Linked DNA regions of Cricetulus griseus. The protein of the gene in region 3 interacts with the protein of the main gene of each other region in a pairwise test. Links are inferred from orthologs where the notes say so. Each region holds a gene or a part of one and is shown on either strand. Other genes may lie near its edges.

The links.
Region 1: the proteins of Egfr (region 3) and Sorbs2 interact in a protein complementation assay, tested with the Homo sapiens proteins (2 studies listed by BioGRID and IntAct). The link is inferred for Cricetulus griseus from reciprocal best matches to the Homo sapiens genes EGFR and SORBS2.
Region 2: the proteins of Egfr (region 3) and Fkbp8 interact in binary tests that used the Homo sapiens proteins (3 or more experiments, as listed by UniProt). The link is inferred for Cricetulus griseus from reciprocal best matches to the Homo sapiens genes EGFR and FKBP8.
Region 4: the proteins of Egfr (region 3) and Snap25 interact in a protein complementation assay, tested with the Homo sapiens proteins (2 studies listed by IntAct). The link is inferred for Cricetulus griseus from reciprocal best matches to the Homo sapiens genes EGFR and SNAP25.
Region 5: the proteins of Egfr (region 3) and Cntn2 interact in a protein complementation assay, tested with the Homo sapiens proteins (2 studies listed by BioGRID and IntAct). The link is inferred for Cricetulus griseus from reciprocal best matches to the Homo sapiens genes EGFR and CNTN2.
Region 6: the proteins of Egfr (region 3) and Cttn interact in binary tests that used the Homo sapiens proteins (3 or more experiments, as listed by UniProt). The link is inferred for Cricetulus griseus from reciprocal best matches to the Homo sapiens genes EGFR and CTTN.
Region 7: the proteins of Egfr (region 3) and Abl2 interact in binary tests that used the Homo sapiens proteins (3 or more experiments, as listed by UniProt). The link is inferred for Cricetulus griseus from reciprocal best matches to the Homo sapiens genes EGFR and ABL2.

Annotation. Positions count from the first base shown.
Region 1 is NW_023276807.1:40,741,506-40,745,005, forward strand, and holds part of Sorbs2 (sorbin and SH3 domain-containing protein 2), read right to left. Parts: coding exon 2,815-3,500; intron 376-2,814; coding exon 287-375; coding exon of another isoform or gene 284-286; intron 1-283. UniProt on the Homo sapiens protein: Adapter protein that plays a role in the assembling of signaling complexes, being a link between ABL kinases and actin cytoskeleton. Can form complex with ABL1 and CBL, thus promoting ubiquitination and degradation of ABL1.
Region 2 is NW_023276806.1:248,450,300-248,452,549, forward strand, and holds the end of Fkbp8 (peptidyl-prolyl cis-trans isomerase FKBP8), read right to left. Parts: intron 1,686-2,250; coding exon 1,608-1,685; intron 1,342-1,607; coding exon 1,210-1,341; intron 941-1,209; coding exon 854-940; 3' UTR 501-853; downstream 1-500. UniProt on the Homo sapiens protein: Constitutively inactive PPiase, which becomes active when bound to calmodulin and calcium. Seems to act as a chaperone for BCL2, targets it to the mitochondria and modulates its phosphorylation state.
Region 3 is NW_023276807.1:89,407,801-89,412,014, reverse strand, and holds the start of Egfr (epidermal growth factor receptor), read left to right. Parts: upstream 1-1,414; 5' UTR 1,415-1,429; coding exon 1,430-1,510; intron 1,511-2,131; coding exon 2,132-2,315; intron 2,316-4,214. UniProt on the Homo sapiens protein: Receptor tyrosine kinase binding ligands of the EGF family and activating several signaling cascades to convert extracellular cues into appropriate cellular responses.
Region 4 is NC_048599.1:41,904,731-41,908,967, reverse strand, and holds the start of Snap25 (synaptosomal-associated protein 25), read left to right. Parts: upstream 1-1,437; coding exon 1,438-1,509; intron 1,510-3,490; coding exon 3,491-3,532; intron 3,533-4,237.
Region 5 is NC_048598.1:56,645,874-56,649,373, forward strand, and holds part of Cntn2 (contactin-2), read left to right. Parts: intron 1-99; coding exon 100-227; intron 228-490; coding exon 491-666; intron 667-1,107; coding exon 1,108-1,228; intron 1,229-1,698; coding exon 1,699-1,857; intron 1,858-2,319; coding exon 2,320-2,469; intron 2,470-3,500. UniProt on the Homo sapiens protein: In conjunction with another transmembrane protein, CNTNAP2, contributes to the organization of axonal domains at nodes of Ranvier by maintaining voltage-gated potassium channels at the juxtaparanodal region. May be involved in cell adhesion.
Region 6 is NC_048596.1:56,912,094-56,915,593, forward strand, and holds part of Cttn (src substrate cortactin), read left to right. Parts: coding exon 1-59; intron 60-513; coding exon 514-624; intron 625-1,456; coding exon 1,457-1,567; intron 1,568-2,917; coding exon 2,918-2,973; intron 2,974-3,500.
Region 7 is NC_048598.1:35,301,439-35,305,416, forward strand, and holds the start of Abl2 (tyrosine-protein kinase ABL2), read right to left. Parts: upstream 2,801-3,978; 5' UTR 2,677-2,800; coding exon 2,520-2,676; intron 1-2,519. UniProt on the Homo sapiens protein: Non-receptor tyrosine-protein kinase that plays an ABL1-overlapping role in key processes linked to cell growth and survival such as cytoskeleton remodeling in response to extracellular stimuli, cell motility and adhesion and receptor endocytosis.

The DNA.
Region 1 (3,500 bases), about 49 Mb from region 3:
CCAGCAAAAGTACTTGTGTAGAAACTCCCCTCCCTCCACAAAGCAGGCTAATTAGAACTCTATTAGTTCATGACTACCAGGCCCAAACTCAGAAAGGCCTCATTGCCTTAAGTGCATCCCAAGTTGGGAGTGACTGGAGCTCACATTCTAGACACAGGCACTAAGCAGAACTGCTTCTAGATTCTTCTTGTTGCTGTCAGGCATCAGTCTGAATTCTTTCCTTGTTTGAGGTACACATTTGACTGGTAAGTGCTTTCTCAGTTTCTTTTAAAAACTGTTTAACTACCTCTTTTTCTGGAGTTCCCCTTCGTTCCCGAGATGCACTTCTTCCAAAGTCAGTCAGAGTAGATGAGTGACTTCTAGGTGACTCATGGTCTGTTGGAAATAATAAGGTGAATCAGAATAAGATTTGATTTCATTGAAAAGAGACTGTTTAGCCACTTTTCCCTGCTGGCAATTACTTTATCCCCAAATTTGGTGAGGTGTCACTAGTGAGAACATGGATGGAAAACTCATAATTAACTGTAAAGTATGATATAAGACACACATACACATTGAAAATGAAGAAATACACAACAGAAATATTATAATCTATAGAAAATATTATTATATTGCCAATTATTTACACTGCAATCCTTGGTGTAGATAATTCACAGTTGCAGGGATTTTCATACTCTAAATTTATCATGCTTAAAATTTCTATTCCTTTTTGGTTTCAATATAAAATTATTATCATAAGATATATAAAGAATTTAAAAGCTACACATTTGTAGGAAGAAAATGTTATATCAAATACAATTTAAGAAGTAATGATGAAATGAAAGATAAACTGTGAGCATGACAGGACTATGGTCATATTCTCCCATGCTCTGTGTGTGTGTGTGTCTTTTCTGTTTGTAAATACTCATTATTGGGTCTTATGATTTTATATCCTTTATGGCTTTCCCTTGTACACAAATGTTCAAGTAATCAGAGAGCAAATTATTACAGAAAACAAAATGTCAACCAGAAAAGCCTCAGATGAAGTTGCCAAATTGCTTATGGTATATTGAGGTCTTGTTTACATTAAAGCAAAGTTAAATAATTACATTTGAAAATTATGACTGCAAATATCCCTCTCAGTTTCTTAAAACTTCCATAGTTGTATGACTTGCATGTAGGAATGTAACTAAAGTTTGCCTGTATTCTGGTGGCATCAGGGAATTTTATCTGTGTACCTGGGTCTAAGTTTAAAAATTATTTATTCACTTTAACAAATTTAAATATGTTAAATAATACAAATCATTAAGATAAATTTTATTTATGTATGGTATAAATTTTTCAGTGTTTCAAATTCATGTTTTGATGATGTACTATGCTTATATAGAGGACCAGAAAATTGAAGAAGGTAGTTAAAAAATTGGATGAAACTTCTTTTAGTCTAAATAGAAACTGATTAGAAATTTTAAATGACTTATTGAATTTAAAATTTATAAGTCTATTTATAAAACAAATTAAATTATTTTACTATTATGCTATTATTCTATTTCTTAATATATCATTTTTATTATATATATTTTTGTGTGTGTGGGATTTTGGGGTTTTATCTGCTTGTTCTCTGTGCACCATGTATGTTCAGTGCCCTTGAAGGCCAGAAAAGGGCATTAGATTCTGTGGGATTGAAGTTATAGACAGTTGTGAGTTGCCATGTGCCCACTGGGAATGGAACCTGGATCCTCTGGAAGAGGAAGGAACAAGGGGTCCTAAAATTGAGCAATCTCTCAGCCCTTACTCTAACTTATTGTTTTTCAGCATGTTGCACAGTAGAAATTAAAGTGAAGGTAAATGTTAATAAGTAAAATTATCCACTAGTTATTAAGTTTTGTTTCCTTTTGCCCCTAGAAATTATATTTTATATTATACATTTTGAGTTAATAGGGCCTTGAATTCTCTTGACATTATTGTAATCTGTGTAAGACTGAGGAATTATATCCTCTTTGTCTATCAATTCCTCCATTGTAAAACAGCACTTACACTAATACCCATTCATTGACTTATGGGGGTTTCAATTAGGGGATGCATGTGGCTAAAGCTCCCCCCTCTCTCTCTATATATATAGACATACACACACTCAGCATATATGCTGAGTGGGGACAGATTTCTTTGAGTGAACAGGTACGATGTTCTAGCATGAATATAGAAATCAAGGGCCAAGTAGTGAAACTACTGACTGATTCATAATGAATCAAAATGATATCTTAGAGATGCGGATATTGAATTATAGTTTTGTCTTGATATATTATTTTGAATCTGAGTGGTGATTATTTCAGGGTATAAGATAACTGAGGAAAATGGCTATTTTGTTAGAAAGTTGGATTCTGACATATCTTAATCTGAAAATGTCCAGAACTGTCTTTTTAAAAAACATTGTAATCTACTGTTTGTGAAGCGTGTTTCGTAGCATCAGTGCAAATATACACAGTCACTAATGACATGGGGACTTTTCATCTCATCTGTCTTCTCAAAGTCCTACTTGTTATAACCCTAATATTAAGTGACAAATGTGGCTTGCTTTTATTTTGAAGTGAGCAAATGCTTAGGAAGTTGATGATTACTTTCAGTCAACACATGAACGTCAAATATCACACAGGCAAAAGAGAGCTACCGAGTCAGACACATCTGCACAGCACAGGTTTTCTTTGTAACACATAATGACATCAAGTGGTCTCACAGCTTAAGAGCGATGAGAGATGCAGGATGAAAAAAAAAAAAAAGAATGAGTTGGGAGGATGGCAGCTGAACCACAAGGGAAAAAAGAAAGAAAACTTCATCCACCTTGGAGACTCAGTGCACTACCATAGTCCTGTGCATGGTAGCTGCTGTTGGCTGTGTCCACGTCTGGGAAGGAGGCACTGTGAGGCATCCTCCCACAATCACTTTGGTAGAGTGGACAATGAATAGCACCATCTTGAGGCAGTGGGTGGAAAGGCTGATGCACTGGGCTCCTTCTCAGAGCATTAAGGGATGAATTCCTCTCAGGGATCTCCGGCAACAGTTCGCTGATAAGTCTATGCAGTATACTGTTGTCTGGTAGGCTCCCCCTTCTTTTCTCGGCCTTTATTTGGTCACAGATGTCTTTGAGGGCGGAGTCCAGAGCCTCAACTACAGAGGCTTTGCATTTGGCCTGTTCAGGCTGATTTTTGGGAGTCACATTCTTTTTCCTTCGGAAAGGCACGGGGCTGACTAGAAATGCAAGTTTAGATAGGCCGGGGTCCATTTCTTGCCTTCTGGGTTGGTCAATGTTTTCATGCTTAGCTCTTTCATGTTTTAACATGGTGGTAAACCGAGTGTAAGAAGCTGGACATGGGCCTTTGCAGGAACTGATGAGGTGCCGGTGATGGTGGTGGTGGTGGTGATGATGGTGATGGCTGGATCCGTAGAAGCTTTCAGAAGACGTGAAGGAGAAATGGTCAAAATCACTTTCACTGCAAAAGGATGACCCTTCAACGTGAACATAGTCG
Region 2 (2,250 bases), on a different chromosome or scaffold from region 3:
TGCAGGGCCAAGCTCCCCTGCCCCCTCTTCCATCAGCAGAATTCAGAGTCCCTGTTGTCAAGCAGGACACCTCCCTGGGCCAGCCTTCCTAATCCCCAGACACAGCAACCCTGCTTAGGTGACCATAACCCCCCCACACACACCTGGATCAAAACCCAACATCTGCCCACCCCCACCCCACCCCAAGACCACGACTGCCAAGGTGCTCCACCTCTTCCTTGTAGAACCCAACATCTCATATATGCCAGACCAGTGACACTCACCAAGTAAGTGACCCCAGAAACTGCACAACCCCAAAAGGACCCTACTGCAGGTAGAAAATCAGCACAAAATTGTAACGCAAAGTGGGAGTGGGCAGAAGTCTTCTGGAGTGCAGCTATGCGTGGCCTGGGTCCACAGCCCTCCTTAAGGTAGCTGTTGTGCTGGGCCTGGCTCAACTGTTGACTCACAGGCCTTCTCTGGTCCAGCCTCAGCAGAAGGAGGCTCGGGAAACATTGGGGTGCGGGGTGAGGCTTTATTTCATTCGCTGTAGGGGAGCCTGGACAGGGGGCAAATGGGCAGGACTAGTAGTAAGGGCTGCCCCCAGGCCTACTGAGAGGGAAAAACTGAGGCCTGACCCCAGAGGGAAGAAATGGGACAGAGACAATTGGGTCTAGAGGAACAGGGCCCCTCCCTCTGGGCTGCACCCCATGCCCCCCTTCAGGGCCTCAGTCCTTCCTGCTTGTTGGAGGTGTATGACCCTCAATCGTTGACTCCCCAACCCAGAGGAGGCAGCTCAGCCAGGGAGGGCAGTGGACAGGGAGCCTGGGGGAGTTGGGGAGCACAGGTCAGGATCCAGGTGTGCAGGGGGCAGTCAGTTCCTGGCAGCAATGACCACAGAGAGAGCCACGCCCCCCAGAGCCACAGCAGTCGCCCCAAACAGCCACTTCCATGGGATGGACTGTGGATAAAGGAAGGGTAAGGCTGGCTGCATAGCTGAAGCAACTACCATGGTCCACACAGACCTTCTAGCAGGGTTTTTAGCATTTCTAAGACACTCCTACATACACCCCAACCCAATCCAAACACCCACTCCTTCAATGTATTTCTTTCCTCTGCATGAACCTCCAACCCTCACCATGAGCCCTGCAGCTCCAGAGTCCCTCCTTCAGCCTGGGCTGAAGTCTGTATCCCCAGCATTGCCCCCAGCCCAGCCACACCCCAGCTCACCCAGGTCCCCTTGCCAGGACATTTGGCGGGCAGCCGGCTGGGGTTGCCCAGCATCTTTCGGTACAGGGCGGTCTCTGTGCTTCGCTGTGCGGCTCGTTTCTTTACCAGCTTGGAGAGCTCCGCATGGATCGTCTGTGGGAGGAGGGTGGCAGTGGGTGCACAGTGCAGGAGGCGGCAGGCCTGCCTGTCATCACTACTGCTCCCCTCTTCTGGTACGCAGGTTTGTCAGGTGTGGGGGCCCCTGGAAAGTGGAGGTTCTACCTACTCCAATCCACTCTTACAAAGTGGGAGCTGCTGCCCCACCCCTAGGCAAGCCAAAAGCTAGAATGGCAGTAATAAGTAGAAATAGACAACTGGGGGACTTACTAGACAAGCCCACCAGAGTCCTTTCCACTTACCTTGTTGGAAGGTTCCAGCTTCAGGGCAGCCCTCAGGATGGGAATGGCCTCACTGTATTCACCTTGCTGAGCCAGCACCTATGGGAGAGGGGCACCCAGTCTTTGTATCCACCCAGAACCTCGCTCTCCTCAGCCTTGCAATGACTCCCTGATCTCAAGCCACAGTCTGGTGGTGAGACACAGCTTGGCACTTGCATCACTACTTGGGGATAGGTACCCTCAGAGTACAGGGACCTCAGCTCAGACTCAGCACCCCAAGTCCTATGAACCCCACCAGATCTGAAGGCAGCTCCCCTGATGGAGCAGTTCCAATAACTGACCATTTTTCTGGATTTTTCTGCTATAGCCCAGATGGCCTGGATCTTGTGACAATCCTCTTGCCTCAGTCTCCTGGATATTGGGGGCTTCAATCTCTCTTTAGGCTTTGGCTGTGTTGCTGGGTCTGTCTGGCCCATGGATGCCACAGGGCCTTGTTCTACACTGCGGGTTCCCAGACCATGACAGCTGGCTCCCCCTGCACACATGCTTCATAAGCAGCAGCCGATGAGCTGCTCAAACACCTCATGCGTCTCTGTGCCTCACCTCCCCTGGCCCAGAAACAACTGCCCTGGGCCCAAACAATCCAGGCAGAGGGGATAGACTG
Region 3 (4,214 bases):
AAACCCAGAGGCCATATTTCTTCACTCTTAGGATAATTTTGGTTCAAAGTATATCCTTTAACAAGCTCCCTGCTTCAAAAGCTCCAAGCCTCTTTGTTTTGTTTTGCTTGCCTAAACATGTCTCCCCAAAAGCCAAGTTGTGAATACCATTTTATTACTATCCTTTCCTCTGCTTCTAAATGCAGACTACTGAGTGCATTTCTGTGGTATAACTTTGGCCCCTAATTTCGCATGTTTTCTCGGATTAAGTCTGTGTCTTGACAGGCTGTATATTGGCGGGGATGCAAGACAAACATGGATACCTGTGTTAGTTGGAATAACACAATGTGAAAAAAGACAGAAGGACATGTTGGGTTCTTACTAGCCTATGGCTTTAAAGCGTTATTTTTCAGTTTAAAAAAGAATTCTGGGTATTCTATAATCAGAACTTTGATTTGTCCTTGAATGATTCTGAGGAGTATTTTTAATTTCTAACAGCTGACTTTTAAAATTCCATTGTTTTCATTGATTTTTAGGTATATAGAATTGGGGTTAGAAAACATTGCCGATTGTGTCTTGTGGTTTTGGAGACCCTTTGTGTACACAACAATGTAGCACACATATTTTTGTGAAGTAAAATGTTCATTGCATTGTTATTAACTCATTTTGCAATTGTGTCATCCACAGAAATTTAATTGCTATCTTTCTATTTTAGAGACTTCTGCAGTTAAACTTGATTGTCAACATGACAAGATTTAGAATCACTATAGAAATAGACATCTGGGCATATCTGTGAACAGTTTTCTAGATGAGGTTAATTGATTTGGGAATTTCTACCCTAAAGGTGGCCAGAACCATTCCATGGTTGGGGTCCTCAAACTAATTAAAATGGAGAAAGAGAGCTGAGAGGTACTTACCTCTCTCTTCTTCCTGACTGTGAATGCAATGTGACCAGATGTTCCACATTTTGGTTGCCATTCCTTTTCTGCCATAGTTGACTGTCTTCCCTAGAACTGTAAGCTGAAATAAACCCTTCCCTCACTAAGTGGATTTTGTCTGGTGATTTGCCACAGAAACAAAATAAGTAACTAATACAATCCTCTATACAATTTACATCTCCCCCGCCTTCCACTTTTAATGCTTTGTTTTCTCTGTGTCCTTAATATCACATGATTGCCTGCATCACAGGGATGAGTTCTGTCTCACGATGAATTACAGCTGTGTAAACTTAAACATCTCTTACCACATCAGCATTGTGGTGGCTTTGATCAAAGATGATTGTTAGTCACTGTGGCTCAGAAAGCTGATGAGTATTGTTTTGTTGTGGTTTGCTACCTTACTCGGCATCTTCTGACAGACCTCTTTCCCTTTTATTCTAGTTTGCCAAGGCACAAGTAACAGGCTCACTCAACTCGGCACTTTTGAAGACCACTTTCTGAGCCTGCAGAGGATGTTCAACAACTGTGAAGTGGTCCTTGGGAACTTGGAAATTACCTACGTGCAAAGGGGTTATGACCTTTCCTTCTTAAAGGTTAGTTCGTTTAATGTGGTTGTCCTATTCAAACACTATCAAATGAAATATGAACACTCAGTAGAATCTGACTTGAGGCATGGATACTTCATCTTATGGAAGCCACAAATCCAAGGGACTATAGGAGAGTGTTATGAGAAGTCCACTCTTCCAGCTAAAGTCAAGTTGCTTGTGGGGGAAAATGGGAGAGAAACCCTTCTGATGTTCCACAGTCCTAAATATTCCTAGTGAGCCATTAGGAGCCAACTCTGAAGGCTTCAAAATCTGCTATGCAAACACTTGGACTTCAGCTGGGTTTACTTTGCCTTTATTTCTTTTTCATTTTTTCTTCCCCTTCTCCCTCACTTCTTCCTTCCACAAGAAATCATGAGAGATGAATTCAAAATAGTTATTTTCACTTCCATTTATTTGAGTTAAAGTGGGAATCACAACATATCAATCAGCTGTTCTTTAATGTAACCTTCAAATGAAACGTGAAAGAAATCATTGCAAATCCTGCCACAACCTTTACCCACATGTGATTGTCTATGTGTCTTAGATTTATCTGCCACATGAATGTGTCATTGTGAAGTTAAATGGGGCTCCTGGGCCCACTTTAATAGGCTTTGTTTTCCCTCTCAGACCATCCAGGAGGTTGCTGGCTATGTGCTCATTGCCCTCAACACTGTGGAGAAGATCCCTCTGGAGAACCTGCAGATCATCAGGGGGAACACTCTGTATGAAAACACCTATGCCTTAGCTGTCCTGTCCAACTATGGGACAAACAGAACCGGGCTTAGAGAACTGCCCATGCGGAACCTACAGGGTAAGAGGTGGGACATCAAGGCCAAGAGGGATTCTGATGGCATGTGGCAAATCTGTCATTTCAGTTAATCCTAACTCAGAGAAGACATGTTTGTGAAACACATGTACTGAGTGCTGTTTGCAGGATTCAGTGGGTGGCAGTTACAAAGATGATAGGTAATGAGATGGAAAGAGATTTCAGCCAGGTAGAAACCAGTTCTTCCATGGATGAGGAATAACATCCAGAGATGGAAATAAATGACCAAGTTCTCCGGTCAACCTCGGTGAGTGAGAGTTTGTGTTAATAGGAAATAAACTTGGGCCAGAGGCAGAAAGGACATGCAGTCACTCCCTCATATTGCAGGGAAGCATTCCTAGGCAAAACTGGATGTCTGAAACATTAGGTGTCCAAAACCATACATGCCATGCCTTTCCTGAATCTATATGGCTCTCATCATTCAGTTCATTGATTAGGTATAGCAAAACATTAACAACAGCAATGAAAAATAACAGAACAATTAGTGTGCTTCACCAAATGCTTGTGAATTTGGTCACTTGATGTTTCTCCCAAAGTGGACCAACAGCAGTTGGACCCCAAAACCACTCATGGGAAAGGGATCTAATGTATTTAAAATCTGTCCTGTTTGAGGAATAGGTTTCAAGGTTAATATTGTTACATGGAAACTCAGGTGTAAGTTGGGAAGAGGAAGGAAGATTTTGGAGTTGAAGAGGAAAATGGAAAGGGTGGCTGAAATGATGAGAAACAACAATTCTTCCTCCATTTCCTGGACTGTTTCTCAAGTCAGTAACTCCACTTAATGCCACAGCCTTCCATAAAAGCAGGTGTTGTACTCTGTCATTTTACAGATAAAGGCATGGCATTAAGATAACTCTTCCTGTACCCCATGCCTGGTTCTTTCATCCCTGTGTGCCCTGCAGTTCTGATGGGGAAGCCATTTGGACTGGGAAGGGGATGCGGTGGAAGAAAAAGTAGAGAGAATGGGACCCTATTGGTGTGTTGAGCTAGGATGTGGCCACACAGCCAGCCAGACACTTCCTTCCTCAGCTCCCTGGTTCACCATCCCATAAACTGCCTCCAGAATTCCCACCCACCACTTTAACTGCTCTGAGCACCCACGCATGTTTCTGAATTTTTGCTAGCATTCATCTCTCCTGTACACACATTGCATGAAATGGCCTGTTTGGTACTTTCGGCATGCCTTGTTCTGCCTATCTTGCCTCATACATGTGAGGAAGCCAGCGGGTGTGAGTCTAGATCCTGGAGCCAGGCTGTCTGTGTTCCAGCCCCAACTCCATCACCCGTCAGTCAAACGACTTTGCAGATATTCCTTCACCTGTGTTTTTCTCTGTATCTCAGTGCCCTCACGTCCAAAATGTAGTACACATATTTGTTAATGTGTTCCCTCTGTGTTGACAAAAATCAACTGTATTACTACAGACAAAGCATGCCTCAGCTATTGAGTTCCTACTTTGCTGTTGTTGTCTATATGTGTGTCTGTGTGTGCATGCTCTAACTGAACTACCCCTATTTTCTAATTAAAGCAAGGTTATAGTTTTATTGGTCCCAGTTATTTAATATAGGACTACTGCCACAACTGAGCATTTCCCAAATGTTGAAATAAAAACAAAAGATTTGACTTTCTACTCATTGCCTTTCTCTATTCAGTTAGAAGGAGGAGACTAGTGAATCCTGCCCCCGGCCAATTATCAGTTACCTATTGTTGGCTCTCCCACCTCCCTGTGCCTCCTTGTCTCTTCTCTTGGTTGTCACTGCAACCTTGATGTGCCTGTCTTCTTTTGCTAAGTTTGACCCTATACTTCTGTCTCCTCTTGTTTCTATCATACTGCTGTCATCTCTATTTTCCAGGTAGAGCTCCACATCTTGGCTCTTTCTGACTTG
Region 4 (4,237 bases), on a different chromosome or scaffold from region 3:
CACATTTCAAGGCCCTGGGCTCATTCCACTTTGGAATAACAGTTGTTTACCTGCACACAATCTTGACAACCTCTAATAACAATGCTGAATGCTTCTAAATACAATGGGATGTTACACACAAACAAATAGGAATGGTCTAGCAATTGTGCTATCATATGGGAAAATTTCAATATAATACCAAGTGGAAAAGCCAAGTGTTTCATTTATACATAATCCTAAGACATACCAACTATAGTGACAAAAGGGAGGTCAACAGCTTCCTCGACATAGGAGGATGTAGAGAATAGCAGGTAGAATAACAAAGAGTATACAGAAATTTGGTGGGGGATTAATGGACTGGCTCATTTTCTTTTTCAGAGCAGTGGGTTACTGAGTGTTTTACAACTGTATGATTTAGATATGTGCGCTGTATTTAAATGTGTATGTTTTTAAATATGTCAACTGTTTCTCAATAAAACTGTTAAATATAACTAAATAAATATAACATTAAAAAATATAAGAACAATGGCCTGCATTGTTCACCACATCATTCCCAAGCTTTGTATGGTTTGCGTCTTTAAAAAAATACTCTAGATGAAGCCATTTATGTTCCTGTGAACCTGCTGTGGTGATATGTTATTTATGATTTATTAAAGCTTGCCTGAGGAGTCAGAAAGCAAAGTCAGCCACAAGCCATAGAAGCCAGGCACACTTCTTTAATCCCAGAAGCCAGAAGCTAGGAAGTGGAGGTACATACCTTTAGTCATAGGACTAAGATTAAGAGGTAAACAGATCTCTGTGAGTCCAAGACGACCCAGATCTACACAAGAAGTATCCAGTCCTAAAGAGAGAAACAGCTCACATAAAGATGATCCCAGCACCTGGGATCACACACCTTTAATCCCAGCATTAGGAAGGTATATAAGACAGGAACTAGGTCTCAGTGTCAGGTATTCATTCTCCAGCCACATTGAGAATAGGAATGCCTCAGCCTTGTTAGAGGTAAGAGCACTTTGGTAGCTTGACTGCTTTGCTTCCCTGATCTTCAGGTTGAACCCCAATATCTGTCTCTGGGTCCATTTATTTTTCATGTTACAACCTGTAATTGAAACACTCAGAAGCTGAAGCAGAAAGATGGTGAGCTCAAGGCCAACCTGGACAACAATGCCAAGCTATCATAAAACATACCAATATGTGACTGTTTTAGTGATGGGGTTGATAAAACACTCATTCCCAGTACTTTTTGGAGAAATGACACAATTCTATTGATTCTTATCTGCGCTTGGCTTCCAGTTCAGAAGTTATCTAAACCCTGGTGACAGTGTGACACTTAGACTTTCCAGTATGCAGTCATTCATATTAGCTCTCATATTCTCCAATATGCTTCTACTCAGGTTCTGTAGCCAAATCCATTGCTGACTTGCTGGTCCAGGTGCCCAGCAACCCCCTACCATTACCATGGCCGAAGACGCAGATATGCGCAATGAGCTGGAAGAGATGCAGAGGAGGGCTGACCAGCTGGCTGATGAGGTAAGGCATAGAGAGGCAGGGGGCAAGCCCAACACTGGAAGGTGGGTGGTTTCAATTCAGATTTTGAGAAAAGAATTCTTCAATGTCTAATTTTTTTTTTAAGGTGAAAAAAGAACTTCCTTTTTCTCTAAGATTCCTGCAGGCTAGACAGGATTGATTATAAGGCGCAAATACAAATTAACATCTCAGCCCTGAGGCAGGACTCCTAGACACTTGGGAGGGCAGGGTCCTCTAGGAAAAACTTTATCTTTAGATACCTAACAGTATGCCATGGTTACCTCAGTAATGAAGGTTACTAAGTGTGGCTATTACTAAAATTGAAGTACATAATTTGAAAATAAATATATATAATTAAAGCAATGGTATTATGAGCTCAAAAGTCATTACTTGTAGCTAGTTTAGCACATTTTTTCTGCTATCTATGCCCTTGAGTCATTTACACTCACTGTATGTAAGAAATGGAAACTGCAGAGTCAGTTTACCACACTGCACTCAGAAACCAAATCAAAAGCAATTATTGAGAACCAGTCATTGGCAAACAATATCAGTTGTGCTTGCTTTATTGTTTGTTGATTACCTATAGTTAAGACAGAAGGGAAAATATTAATAATCTAGATAAAACTTTTTAATTATGTATGTCTGTAGCTATTACATTAAGAAAATAATATACAGAGTTGGGTGGGGAGGGAGGGTTGGATCAGGGAGGAGCTAGGGGTAAGAGTGGAAGAGGTGAATATGATCAAAATTCATTGTAAGGCATTCTCAAACAGTAAAAATGTTTTTGAAATATAAGAAATTTTGAGGAAGTCCTCCATTATTTGGAAACTTATTTTTCAACAAAAACATCACCTTCTTTACTAATGAGACTAATTCTAACATTAAGTCGTCACTGCTTCAGGTTCTTCTTATTCATGAACATGAGTGAAGTTATCCAGTTGCAGTGACCATGTTAGAATTATACTAGTTCATCATATGAGGAGTCATAGATAGACAACACACACACACACACACACACAAAAAAAAAAAAAACTGACAGGAGTTTTGGGTGAGAATCAACCTGCTACACAGAACTGCTAACCAAGGATGCTGTGTTGCATCATGTGTCAACTCTGTGCTCTCTGTGTTTCACAGCCTTACAATAGATGCAAAGATACATAAATGTATTTATATTTTTTCCCAGAGTCAGAGCATTTTGCCAACACATCACTGATAATAGCTATTTTATTACAAAAGGGAGTCCACTTTAAGTCCATTGCAGCAAAAATTCACATCCTTCAGGCTCCTGCAGAAACTTGTCCAACATAAATTTGCTATTTGAAAGCATGGTTTTGAGAAATCACACTGGTTGTTGCAGTGGAGCTATGTTAAAGGAACTGAGAACAAAGTGGTGATGCTGTGCCTGAGGGACCAGCTGCCAAGCTCAAAGCTTTCTTCATGCTTTTTTTCTTATCTAAAAATGAAGGTAATTACAGCTGTCTCCTATGGGATAGTTATTGCAAACTTGCTTGATTTTTTTTCACCCTAAGGCGACAGCTTAATTTGTATTGATAACAACTTCCAGTTGTGTTTCAAGGAGTTTTAAAGGAAACTCGTTAAACTCATCTCTCCTCATGAAAACTTATGTTTGTGTTTAAAATTCAATATCCCTAGTTCAGGGAGGCCAAAGTAGTCCTTGAAGTATATGAGATAGTTTTCCAGGCATCCAGAGCATACAAAATGATTTGTCCAGATTGCTTTGCCTTTGATATCAAGATCAGCCTCATATGGTTTTGGTTTTATAAAGATAAGCTTTCATATGATTGCTCTGGGAAATCTGATCATGTAGAAAGAGATTGAAACTGGGAAGACATTTGGTGTTTCTGTTGCAAAGTGTAAGTCATGTGTGATAGGGACCTTTGTGTTTCTCATGTGAAGAAAGCATTTCTGACTTGCCTAGTGCTCTGTTAGTGCCTTTAACAGTGTTTATGTTTTTCCATCTTAGTCCCTGGAAAGCACCCGTCGCATGCTGCAGCTGGTTGAAGAGGTAAGGAGTGGATTCTATTAACATAAACTAGGTCCCTATGTTGACATGTTCATTCCTAGCTCCTATTGTTTTTCCCTAAACCATGGCTCCCTGGCTTCCAATATGAACATAGCGTATCAGAAAATACTGGAGATTTTGGCATGAGTTGTTAGCTAGTTATCAAGGTGACCTCACCACCCTCCAGCCTAGGCTACCTCTGCAGTGCATAGTACAGAGAAACCTACTATTTCTAAGCTCCTGTTCCCAACAGTCACAAAAGTGGGTCCCAGTAAGCAAAGTGGTGCTTAATCTATGAAGGAATTACCTACATAAAAGTCTTCATTTGTAATGATTTTGTTGCAATATATTACAGCTAATCTAAAATTCTTTTCTGACTCCAACTATATTTATAACTTTGAAAAATATGTATTTATGCAAGCATATCATCTTTTGAAATTGTTGTATTTAGTGTCCAGCACGAAAATCTAAGAAAAAATAGCAAAAATCTTAAACAAAGAGAAAAATCTAGTCCAATTAAGTAAATATAAAAGTTCTTTTATGTGACTGACTCTGAATTGCACATCCATTTCTAAAGCATTTGTAATTCATGGTTTAATGAATCCCAAACCATTTTTAAATGGATAAAATAGGGCAGATAGCAATAATGGAATCAAAAAAGCATTTGCAATAAAACCTACTCATTCCAATTTGGTAGAACAGCAGTCA
Region 5 (3,500 bases), on a different chromosome or scaffold from region 3:
TGCCACAACTGAGAGGGCTTCTTGGAGGCCAATCCCCTTTCCATGGGCCACAGTGAATCTATCCCTGGGTTGACCAGATCTTTTGTGTCCTTGCTGCAGAGTGACGGTAACTTCAGATGGCACCTTGATTATCAGAAACATCAGCCGATCAGATGAAGGCAAATATACCTGCTTTGCTGAGAATTTCATGGGCAAAGCTAACAGTACTGGGATCCTGTCTGTGCGCGGTAAGGACTGTGCTCTGCTCAGACCTGTGGTCAGCTGCCGGGGTGCTGTTCTGACAGCCATCTGCTACTGGTCCCATATACTTCTGCTTCCAAGGCTACCTCAGAACTCCCTTTCTCTTGGGACCAACCCTGGCCAGCTTCCAGAATCTGGCTGCTCATGAATTTTCTTCTTGGGGTACAGGACAGAGGCTCTCCCTGCCTGGGACTTTTCCATCCTTTACATCAAAGAGCTTTGTTTTTGTTGTTGCTATTTTGCTTTGTAGATGCAACCAAGATCACTCTAGCCCCTTCAAGTGCTGACATCAATGTGGGTGATAACCTGACACTACAGTGCCATGCCTCCCATGACCCCACTATGGATCTCACATTCACCTGGACCCTGGATGACTTTCCCATTAACTTCGATAAGCCTGGAGGTCACTACCGGAGGGCCAGTGTGGTAAGGCCAGGGGTCTTGTAACTCTCCCTTTTTTCAGATAAGACAGGGGACCTGATGTGTCCTCAGCCATCACCATCTTCAAGCCCTCCAAAGTTCTCCCTAACCCCTGAGGCAGTGCCCAGCAAGCCCATCCTAGGACTGACAGCCACCTTTTCTGAATCCACCCAATGCCTGTTCTTCTAAGTTAGAATCAAGCGTTAGCATTCTAAGTGCCCCAGGAGGGTCTCTCTGCTACTCTCGCTCTTCCCCAATACAAATGCCCATGCAGACTGTCTTATGTGACACACTTTGTTGTTCAGTGATACCAAGTAGTGATTCTTCCCATTGAACAGACAGGAAAACAGAGGACATAGATGCCAGGCAGCCAGAGAATTCAGGTTCTGTTTATTCTAGTCAGGGCCTCCCCCTGACTCATCACACCTTGCTGTTCCCTGTGCGCAGAAGGAAACTATTGGGGACCTGACTATCCTGAATGCCCAGCTACGCCATGGAGGGAAGTACATGTGCATGGCCCAGACAGTGGTGGATGGAGCATCCAAGGAGGCCACAGTCCTGGTCCGAGGTGATGGGAGTCGGCTACCCCAGTTCCCTGAGAGGCTCTAGGCTGTTTGACCCTCCCCACCTCCCTTCACTCCCTGAAAGCTGAAAGAAGTCACAGAGATGGACACGTCTATTTACTTCCTCTGTGGTTCTTCGTGGGTCCTAAATGAGTAGAATGTTTCTTCGGAAGCTGTACTCGAGAAAGAAAATGTTCCCTAAATGTCCCAAGACTCTGCTAAGCCCGAGAGTTCCAAATTCGGTGCTGGGAAATCTATGCATCCCCTTATGGACAGCATCTGTGAGCCTGCAAGTCTGAGACACAAAACTTCCCACCATGCTCCTCTGTCCCTGTGCTCTGGCTTTCCACCCAATCTTTCCTGCCCTGTGATGCCCCATCTAGATATTGAGCCAGTCCAAGCTGGGTCTGGAGAAAACGGGCTCAAACTGGGAGCTGTCTACTTCTGACCCAGTGTACTCTGCTTCTTGGTACAGGTCCTCCAGGTCCCCCTGGGGGTGTGGTGGTGAGAGACATTGGAGACACCACTGTCCAGGTTAGCTGGAGTCGTGGCTTTGACAATCACAGCCCTATTGCCAAGTACACGCTGCAAGCTCGAACTCCACCTTCCGGGAAGTGGAAGCAGGTTCGGACCAGTAAGTGTGAGGCCCCACGTGGATCAGTACTGATAAATCTCCCACTGTGTGCACAGCAGGAGACAGGGATCAGAGAGTCAAAGGCTGAGCATGGGGCTTGAAAGAGAATTAAATTGTGTTCTCTATCTCCAGGGAGCACCTAGGCAGGCAGGGACACAATTATAGCCAGCAGGAAGGTAAGGAGAGGACTAGAGGAGGCACTTGGTCTGTACCTTTGAAGCCTTCAAAGGATTGTTGCTGGAGATTGCCAGCATGCTCAACATGTGTGGAGTGAGGAGCACACAGCATTGGCAAAGGCCCTGAGGCATCGGAGCTTAGTAGCTTTTCAATCAAGAGTAATTGAAGGCTTAACATATGGTAGCACCACAATGAGGGCAGAATACAAAGGTCTCACAAGCCCAGTACCTGCCCTCATCCTGGCAATAAATGGATGCTAGCCATTGACCCCCTTGGACCTTGCAGATCCTGTGAACATCGAGGGCAATGCTGAGACTGCCCAGGTGCTGGGTCTCATGCCTTGGATGGACTATGAGTTTCGGGTTTCAGCCAGCAACATCTTGGGCACTGGGGAGCCCAGCGGGCCCTCTAGCCGAATCCGGACCAAGGAAGCAGGTGAGTGTCTGGGGTTCTAAAGGACATTTCTCAGCAGAGGGTGCCCTAGTGGGAGCTGGAACAAAGTTCCAATTGGCTTCCCAGTCCTGGGCTCTGATGTGGAAGTCAAGAGGCAAGGCTGCTGCGTGGGCAAACTGCCTGATCCAAAGCCCTTGCTGAAAGACACTCGGGCAGGCAGATCTGTGGTCATTGTCTCAGCTTAGAGTTTAAACAGGAAAGCTGGTTTGAACAAGGGAAAAAAGTCATGCTGGGGGAGCCTGATCTCGAATCTAGGACAAGAATCTTGAGCTGTTTTTAAATGTATACAAACCGCAGAAATCAGCTAACAAGGAAGGAGTCTGTGAGCATATACACTTGTGTGTATACCCATGTGCTATGTGGGGGGCTAGAGAAGCAGCCAGACTCCAGGCCCTTTTTATCTGGTATCTGTGGAATGGAAGGGATAATAATCTGTCTGTGACCCTCAGTGAAAGTGCATGTGTGTCATAGCCCAAACAGGCAAGTGTGTGAGAAGAGAACCAGGAAGGGAGACAGACATGGGCTTAATCTGCCCAGAGTCACCAGCTACATTCTGACTATTCCCAAGGGAGGACCTGGGATCATGTGACAGCATCATGGTCGGCCCTGTCTCCCTCCTTCCATTTGGCCAGACCTGTGCTTATGTATGGTGGAGGGTCCACCTCCATGTATCCCTTAAACATGCTCTCCTACCTGCTCCAGGCTGACTCCCCAGGCTCTGGAATCACTCAACATTTTTATCAGGCATCTGTCTAGAGTAGGAAATTCCAGAGGGCATGCTCTCTGACTGAACTTCTTGGGAATATGGGGTGAGAGGGGTCTGTCTCTTTGATTCTAGCAGCTCAAAAACTGATGGGCATACAAGCACAATGCAAAGAGACAGTGGTGATCTTTAAAATCATAAAAGTGGAGATCACAGTCTAGCTGAGTTGTACGTTAGCTGTGTGAACTTGGACAAGTTGCTTAACTGCTCTGGACCTCAGGCTTTCTGTCTTGGAATGCGCTCCTCAGAG
Region 6 (3,500 bases), on a different chromosome or scaffold from region 3:
CAAGAGCGCTGTGGGCTTTGAGTATCAAGGCAAAACAGAGAAGCATGAATCCCAGAAAGGTACCTGCCACTTGTGCTTAATCTAGCCAGCCCCTCGCAGGGTGACAGGTGTGGCCAGGATAGAAGAGAAAAACTGTTGTCACCTGCAGTTTTACAAATGGTCAACCTAAGACAGCTGCTCGCAGCCTGTGGATACATAAGAACTCGGGCATTGGCCTCATCCTTGACTCTAAGCCCTAGTGTTGTTTGTGTCAATGCCCCAGTCACTCATGTCTGCCTGTGAGTGATGAGACCTTGCTGCCTCAAGGGCCGCATGCATTGGCTTAGCCTATTTAACCACACTCCTAAGACACCATTATCTTGAGGGAGGGCCTCTGATGGGTCTCATCCCAGCTGTTTCCTGGGGGAAGCTCGGGTCCAGTGAAACGTGCCTCCTTGCATCTGAAGCCTGCTTCCTCCCCCTGTTCTGGGCTGCGCAGTAATGCCAGGTTATGGCTTTCTGTTGTGCATGTAGACTATGTGAAAGGGTTTGGAGGAAAATTTGGTGTGCAGACAGACAGACAAGACAAGTGTGCCCTTGGCTGGGACCATCAGGAGAAGCTGCAGCTGCATGAGTCCCAAAAAGGTACTCCCCTGCCCCACCCCCAGCCTTCCTCAAGGGCCTTTGAGAAGCTTGTGTTCATTCCTCAGTCGGCCACGTGCCTCATGTCCGCTGTGTTTCTGTCTGAATTTCATTTTCATGGTGTGAAGTTGTGTCTCCTCTGATTCCAGAGGTCTGCATAGGTGGTAAGGGGATAGGGTGATCCTGTCCTGTCCCCACCCCCTATGCCAGTGCTGTAGCAACTGGGAGCCTGGTTCCTGTAGCACTCATAAGGGCCTTTGGCCCTCTGGGTTCCCAGGGTTTTCCCTTTTGAGGTGGGCTATGGTTTGTGGAGGGCACACTTCTTTCTTCAGTGCTGGGGATAGAACCCACAGCCTGGTCTATGCTGGGCAGATTCTCTCTACCTCTGAGCCTCCCCTCAAGTCACACTTCCTTTGTAACTGGGAGAGTTTTCTTGTCACAGTGGGAACTTTGTCCCCGGAAAAGCTGGTTTGAATAGAGTAAAACACTTGTAGTTGTCCCCAGCTGTCCCTTCAGCACAGGGAGTGGGGCTAGTAGCCCCTCTGTTGTCCCTTTCCTGTGGGCAGCCTGGGAAGGACCCTGCAGGCAAACCTCAAAGCATGGAGTAGCTTTAACTAAACTATTTACCATCCAGTTCCGAACCTGCTTTCAGCTGAAGTATACTGACTTGGAAGTTTGTCCCTTAATCCTGTGGTCAGTGTTAGACCCTCAGGCCCGGATCAGCGCTCTTTCTGTCCGAACATGATATATTTGATCATTGCACATGTTCATGTGACTCTAATCTGGCTGTTTCCTCTTTCGGTCATGCTCCCCACTGTCTCGCGTGGATCTCCAGACTATAAGACTGGGTTCGGAGGCAAATTTGGTGTTCAGTCCGAGAGGCAGGACTCCTCCGCTGTGGGGTTTGATTACAAGGAGAGATTGGCCAAGCACGAGTCCCAGCAAGGCACAGTTGCCCCTTCCTCCTTCCAGCAGCCCTTGCAGTGCAGCCCACTTGCAGCATAGACTTCAGGGTTCACCACAGTGCCTGTGTTAGCTCCCTGTGCCTCCAGCCGCCAGGGATGTCCCCACCTAGTTTAATGCTAAAGCAACATCCTGGAGCTCTGCCCCTTTCCTCCATTTCCCCTCTGACCTTTAGAGTTCAAGTTAGGAGGCACTCTGCAGGCCAGGGCAGTGCAGTTTCTGCAAGGGACACATCTGGCCTCCTTGCTGCTGACCACCAGTGCTGAATCTCTGAGCCCCTCCTCATTGCCTCTGACCCACAGGGAAGTGGGTTTTGCTCTCCCAGACCTGATGTTAACTAGACACTGGGGTCATGGAGAAAGACAGGCATGTTTCGTGTAGTCTCTGTGTCTTTGTAGTGAGTTTTTTTTTTGTTGTTGTTGTTGTTTTTTTTTTGGCCAGGTGTACAAGGTGTGTTTGGAGTTTTTTGTTTGTTTGTTTTGTTTTTAACCACACCATCTGTGTGTAGCATCTCCACCCAGAGCCACACTGTATGTGCACACTGTGCGCATGGCTGATACAGGCAGGTCAAGGCATGCCCTGGTAATCTCAGTAGCTATTGCAGTTTTTTTTTTTTTTTTTTTTTTTTTTTTTTTCTCCTCAAGAGATTAGACCTGGTTCCTAGAACCCAAGTGTCCAGGCAGAGGCATGTGACTCCCTGAATCAGGGTGGAGTGTAGACTCCCAGATGCCATCAGGCCTGGGGTGGATGTACTTAGTACTGGCCTAGAAGACTGCGTGGAGGTGGCCGTTGGTTCCTGTAATGTCGAGGCTGCATGACTATCACTTTCATGTGTTTGTGTGTGTGGCAGCAACAGACATACTTGTCTGGTGGCATTTCGACACGGAGTTTTGTTTTTGTTTTTGTTTTTTTTTTCTTTTAAAAAGCAAGAGAACAAACTACGGTGGGGCCTCTATTTAGTGCCCAGTAGAGCAGGCGCCCAGGAAGCAGATGAGAATAAGTCCCTGGCTGGTGTGAAGACTGTGCTATAGAAGTGTGCACTGCAAAGGCCTGTCCTGTGACCTTCCTCCTTGGCTTCCTTCCCACCGGCCTGCTGCCCATCCCCTCCCTCTCCCTATTCCTGGAAGCATGCCCACACCTCACCTGCTCCCTGCCTGCACTGGGCACTGTGGTTAGACAGCTGGCTTTGCCAGGAGAGCCCATCCTCGGGCAGCTTTCACCTCCCTCTGCTCTGGTTCGTGCCCCCGGGCTGTTTTGTGGATCCCTGTGCATGTGCCTGCCATTGCTCGCCCAGTCTCATCCTCACAGAATTCTTGCCTTTACTACCTTTCAGACTATGCCAAAGGATTTGGCGGGAAGTATGGGGTACAGAAGGATCGAATGGACAAGGTAAGACCAGCAAGATATTGTGGGGTGTTCTTCTGAGGGCCTTTGGCTCACAACATTGGAGGTCTGTCCAGAAGCATTAGGCACATGTCATTCCATGGTCCTGGGAACCTTGCATACTTCATGTAGCACACTGTGGGTCCATTCTGTTTCACATTTGGAGCTGAGGCAAGCAAGCCAAGTACCTGGTCACAGCATCACAGTGAGTAGTAGGGTACAACCCAGGGATTTGATGAGAGGGTCTTAGGGACATGTGACTATTTGAACTTTTGTTATCAGTAGGCCAGTCAAGAACCAGTTCTTGGCTAGCACTTTGGAAGTGCTTAGTGGTCACACCTAGTCACTGGCTGTCACCACAGACAGCAGGAGCTAGACCATTAGTCTTGCTGCACATGGCCCACGGGTGAGACACACTAGTCTCTGGCCTGTCCTTTCTCACTCTTTCCTTCAGATAGGGTCTTGCTCTGCCCCCCAGGCAAGCCTGGAACTTGTAATCCTTCTGCCTCAAGTTTCCATAGTCTGGCACTGAT
Region 7 (3,978 bases), on a different chromosome or scaffold from region 3:
GTTCCTGGACAGCCAGGGTTGTATAGTAAGGTCCCATAGCACAAAAAGGAAAAAAAAAAAAAAAAGGAAGAGGAAAACCCAAATACTTTGCTCTTCTGATTTTTGTTCTAGCATCTCCTGACTATTTCATCCATGACTTCCCATTTTCCCACAGGTCCAAATCATGTCCATCCTTCAAAACCTCTTCCTAGTCTATTCATGACTTTTTCCTTCTTACAGGCAGGAAGGGGGAAGGGGTTACTGCTGCCCTCTGGGCCATGCTTAGTACAATAATCCCACAAAGTAAAGCTATGTGGATCTCTCCCTGAAAACTGTTAACCTTTTCCCTAAGTTTTACTATTTCAATAAACACTATATGAATAGCACCTGCATATAAATCAATACACCTTGAAGAGCTGCTCAAGCTTATCTTTAACAGTGAGCATGTAAAACTAAGAAAGCCCCAAATCACCTGCCTCCTCCATTCAGAAACAACTCTGGAGCTGGAGTGATGGCTTAGTGGTTAAGAGCACCCGCTACTGTTCTAGAGCACCCGGGTTCAATCACTAGCACCCACATGGCAGCTCACCCACCACCCTCTAGTTTCAAGAGGAGACCAGAAATACATGCAACAAACACCCACACATAAAAATTTTAACTGGTTTTTAAAAATTAAAAAAGGAAAGGGGAGGGGCTGGAGAGATGGCTCAGAGGTTAAAAGCACAGGCTGCTCTTCCAGAGGTCCCGAGTTCAATTCCCAGCAACCACATGGTGGCTCACAACCATCCAGTATGGGATCTGGTGCCCTCTTCTGGTGTGCAGATATACATGGAAGCAGAATGTTGTATACATAATAAACAAATAAAATCTTTAAAAAAAGAAAAGAGAAAGAATGAAGAAGGGAAAGGGAAAACAAAGAAGTCCAAATGCAGAATTCAGACACAACTCACCCAATAGCTATAAATCCCCAGAACCATCTTTTTGTATGCTACCATCTATCATCACTTCCTTTAAAACTCCCTTTCTTGTGACCAGTTTACACTTCCTATCCTTCCCTTTCCCCAAACTATGTGGTGTGGGGCACTGTTTATCCTTTACCTTGCATACATGTATTGTCAGTGAAACTAACTTGCTACTTCTCATCCAGTTTACACTAGTCAGTTCTTTCGATAAAAGTCACATCTACATCACCAGTCTCGTGAGGGTATTAGGATATCATCTGCTTCTTTTCCCTCTTCTCTAGTCTGTCCTCCTCTAGTGCTCTCAAAAATGGTCAACAACACCACAGAAGAACAAAAGAATCCACTTGGCTTCTAGAAAAAAATTAATACTCATTTTTTTTTCTCCTTTTTTGCTGCTGGGGCTTGAACCTGGGCCTCAGTCATACTGTGTGCACTGTCCCTGGTTTACAGAGCTCTATACTTAATTTTTCCCACTGTACCCTTTCTTATACTCTATTTCTGCTTGTTAATTACATTACTAGAACAGTAGCTAATGTATATAATAAAGACAAATTAACAGAGTATGTGCTCAAAAATGTATTTATTAAGAGTTTAGAGTCACTGGACCAACAAGATGGCTCAGTAAGTAAAGGCACTTGCCTCCAAGCCTGGTGGTGAGTTCAATACCTGAAACCCACATGGTGGAAGGAGAGAGTGATTCCCGGAGTTGTCTTCTGAGCCCTGCATACATGCACCCGCACACATATACTCACACACAAAATAAATGTAATTTTAAATAGTTTAGAGACAGCTCTTCTAAAAAACTATTTAAGACAGGGTAAGTTCCAGACTGCCTGGAGCACCTACCTATGCGTATATGTACACACAACTGCGACTCAAAAGAAAAACTCATTCATATCCTCATGGAAGCCCTAACCATACCCACCCATCTACAGCCCCAACCAGCCATCTCAGAATCCTGTGTCCTACTCAAGATACACAAAACAGGGTGGTTTGGTAAAGCCCTTCATTTTTAGTTTAGGGAAAAGACTCTGTTGAAAGTAGAGAGATGCTAAAAAGGGCTCACAGTTCACCATTCTGACACTGCTCACTGCCCGATTAATAAAACACATACCGAATATGCCACGATCGCTTAAGATGCAGTACCTATTTCCCAATTCCTCAGGGCACAACTCGTTCCCGTCGTTAACAACCGGTTTATCCTCCCACCTCCTTAACCTGTGCTCATACCTGCCTTCATCCTTCCCTCCCTAGGGATAGATACCACCCCTTGTTCCACAGTCCCCCCGTCCTGTCCCAGGACAGCAGCCAGTCTAGCCTGGGTCCCTAAGACCCCCTCCTCGCTCTCTGCCGCGGCCCCCAGACGCTGCCAGCCAGGCTGGAGCGCGGAGCCGGGCGGGGGGAGGGGTGTGCCTCGCCTCCCGTGACTGGCCCAGATGGCAGCAGATTCCGCCCCCACTCGCGGGCACCCCTCCAGCCCTCGCCCCCCGAGGGCTGCCCGTCCGCCTCGCACCTCGCCCCGACCCCACCCCACCTCCGGCCTCCCTCACGCCCTTCGCCGGCTCCGGACACACTCACCGTGCTGGGTGAAGACATTGAAGCCGGTGTCCGCGGTACGCCCCGCCGGGTCCCGCCTGCGGCCCGAGGGCCTGGCTGCGCTGCTGCCCCGGATCCCACGCGGCTGCGGCTGCTGGAGCCCGGGAGCCTCCCCGACGCGGCCCACCTGCTGCCCCATCCCGCCGCTCGCGTACTCCCGCGCCCCCGCCGACCCCTGCTCACATTCCTCCTCTGCTCCGGCCTCGGAGCTCCTGGCGCCGCTCCGGCCTCTCCGGCCCAAGCCCAGGCCCCGCGGGCCCGAGTCGCCGGCGGCTCCGCACGCGGACTCCTTAACAGCCGCCGCCGCGCTGCCTCCCAGCGACTCACAGACTCGCCTTCTCCCTCCCCCTCCGGCGGCTCCGCGCCCCAGCCGCCGCCGCCATCTTTAAACCACCGAGCACAGGACGAGCGTGGGACAGAGCGTCTCCCGCCCCCCTCTTGCCCAGGCACCTCCGCTACTCGGAGGGCGGAGCTCCAGGTGGCCCCGCCCCGCGCCGCGCCCCGCTGGGTGGAGGCAAGGGCCCACTGATCCACCGAAGCTTTGGGGGCCGTGGGGGGGGGGGGCTCGGATGCTTCACCGCGCCCGGCCTGCGGGTCCGAACCTGCCGGTGCAAACGTCCATCCACGTTGGGCTCCACATCACCCCTCTTGAGGAAGTGTGGGCCTCCCAATCTTTCCTGTCCCACCTCCACCTGTCAAGTCAGAAGAGGCTGAGAACTCACCACCGGTTCAGCTCAGCAGCCAACAGCTGAGGCTGTGAATCCCTGTGCTTCGCTGCCATTCAATTGAAGAGCCCTTGACACACACTTAGCAGCAGGCCTAGAGTGCAGTGTGAGATGGTACAAAATTCCTGGGGTAAAGTGCAGGGTTAACTTAATTTTAATTTGGGGAATTATTTCTTGATGTTAAATTCCATTCGCCTAGGTTGTGTGGGCTTTGAGGTGTTATTGGCAAAGCAGTTGTAACCAAATTTCTCTTACTACCGTGGATGGCTCCTGAACTCTTCTCCCGTCTACCTAACCGCACGTGTTTCAGTTTGCTTTAAAACGCTTGACAGTAAAACTAACAATCTCCCCTACGGACAGGTTTTCCTCACTGTGCACGAGATCAGGCCCTTCTTTGTTGACAAGGAAAAAAAATATCACTTTGACCTTGTTTCTGAGTCAGAACTTACTCATCTTTAGCTTCTGTTGTCTAAATAGTGTCACAGGAAGAAGAGAAGTGACTTTTATTGACATAAACCCTGTGTGCAATTGTCTCACCATCCTACCCCATTGTGTGTTCTTAATGTTGAACCAGTTGTAGGGGTTTTTTTGCTTTTTTTTTTTAAGACTCAGTGATGCTTATTTCCTGCTATTCCCTTGACTTCCTTGTTAGTTTGTTTAAAAGGCTCAGTTACTGGACATACCACTTGAAATTTTGCTTTTGAATGAGGACTGGA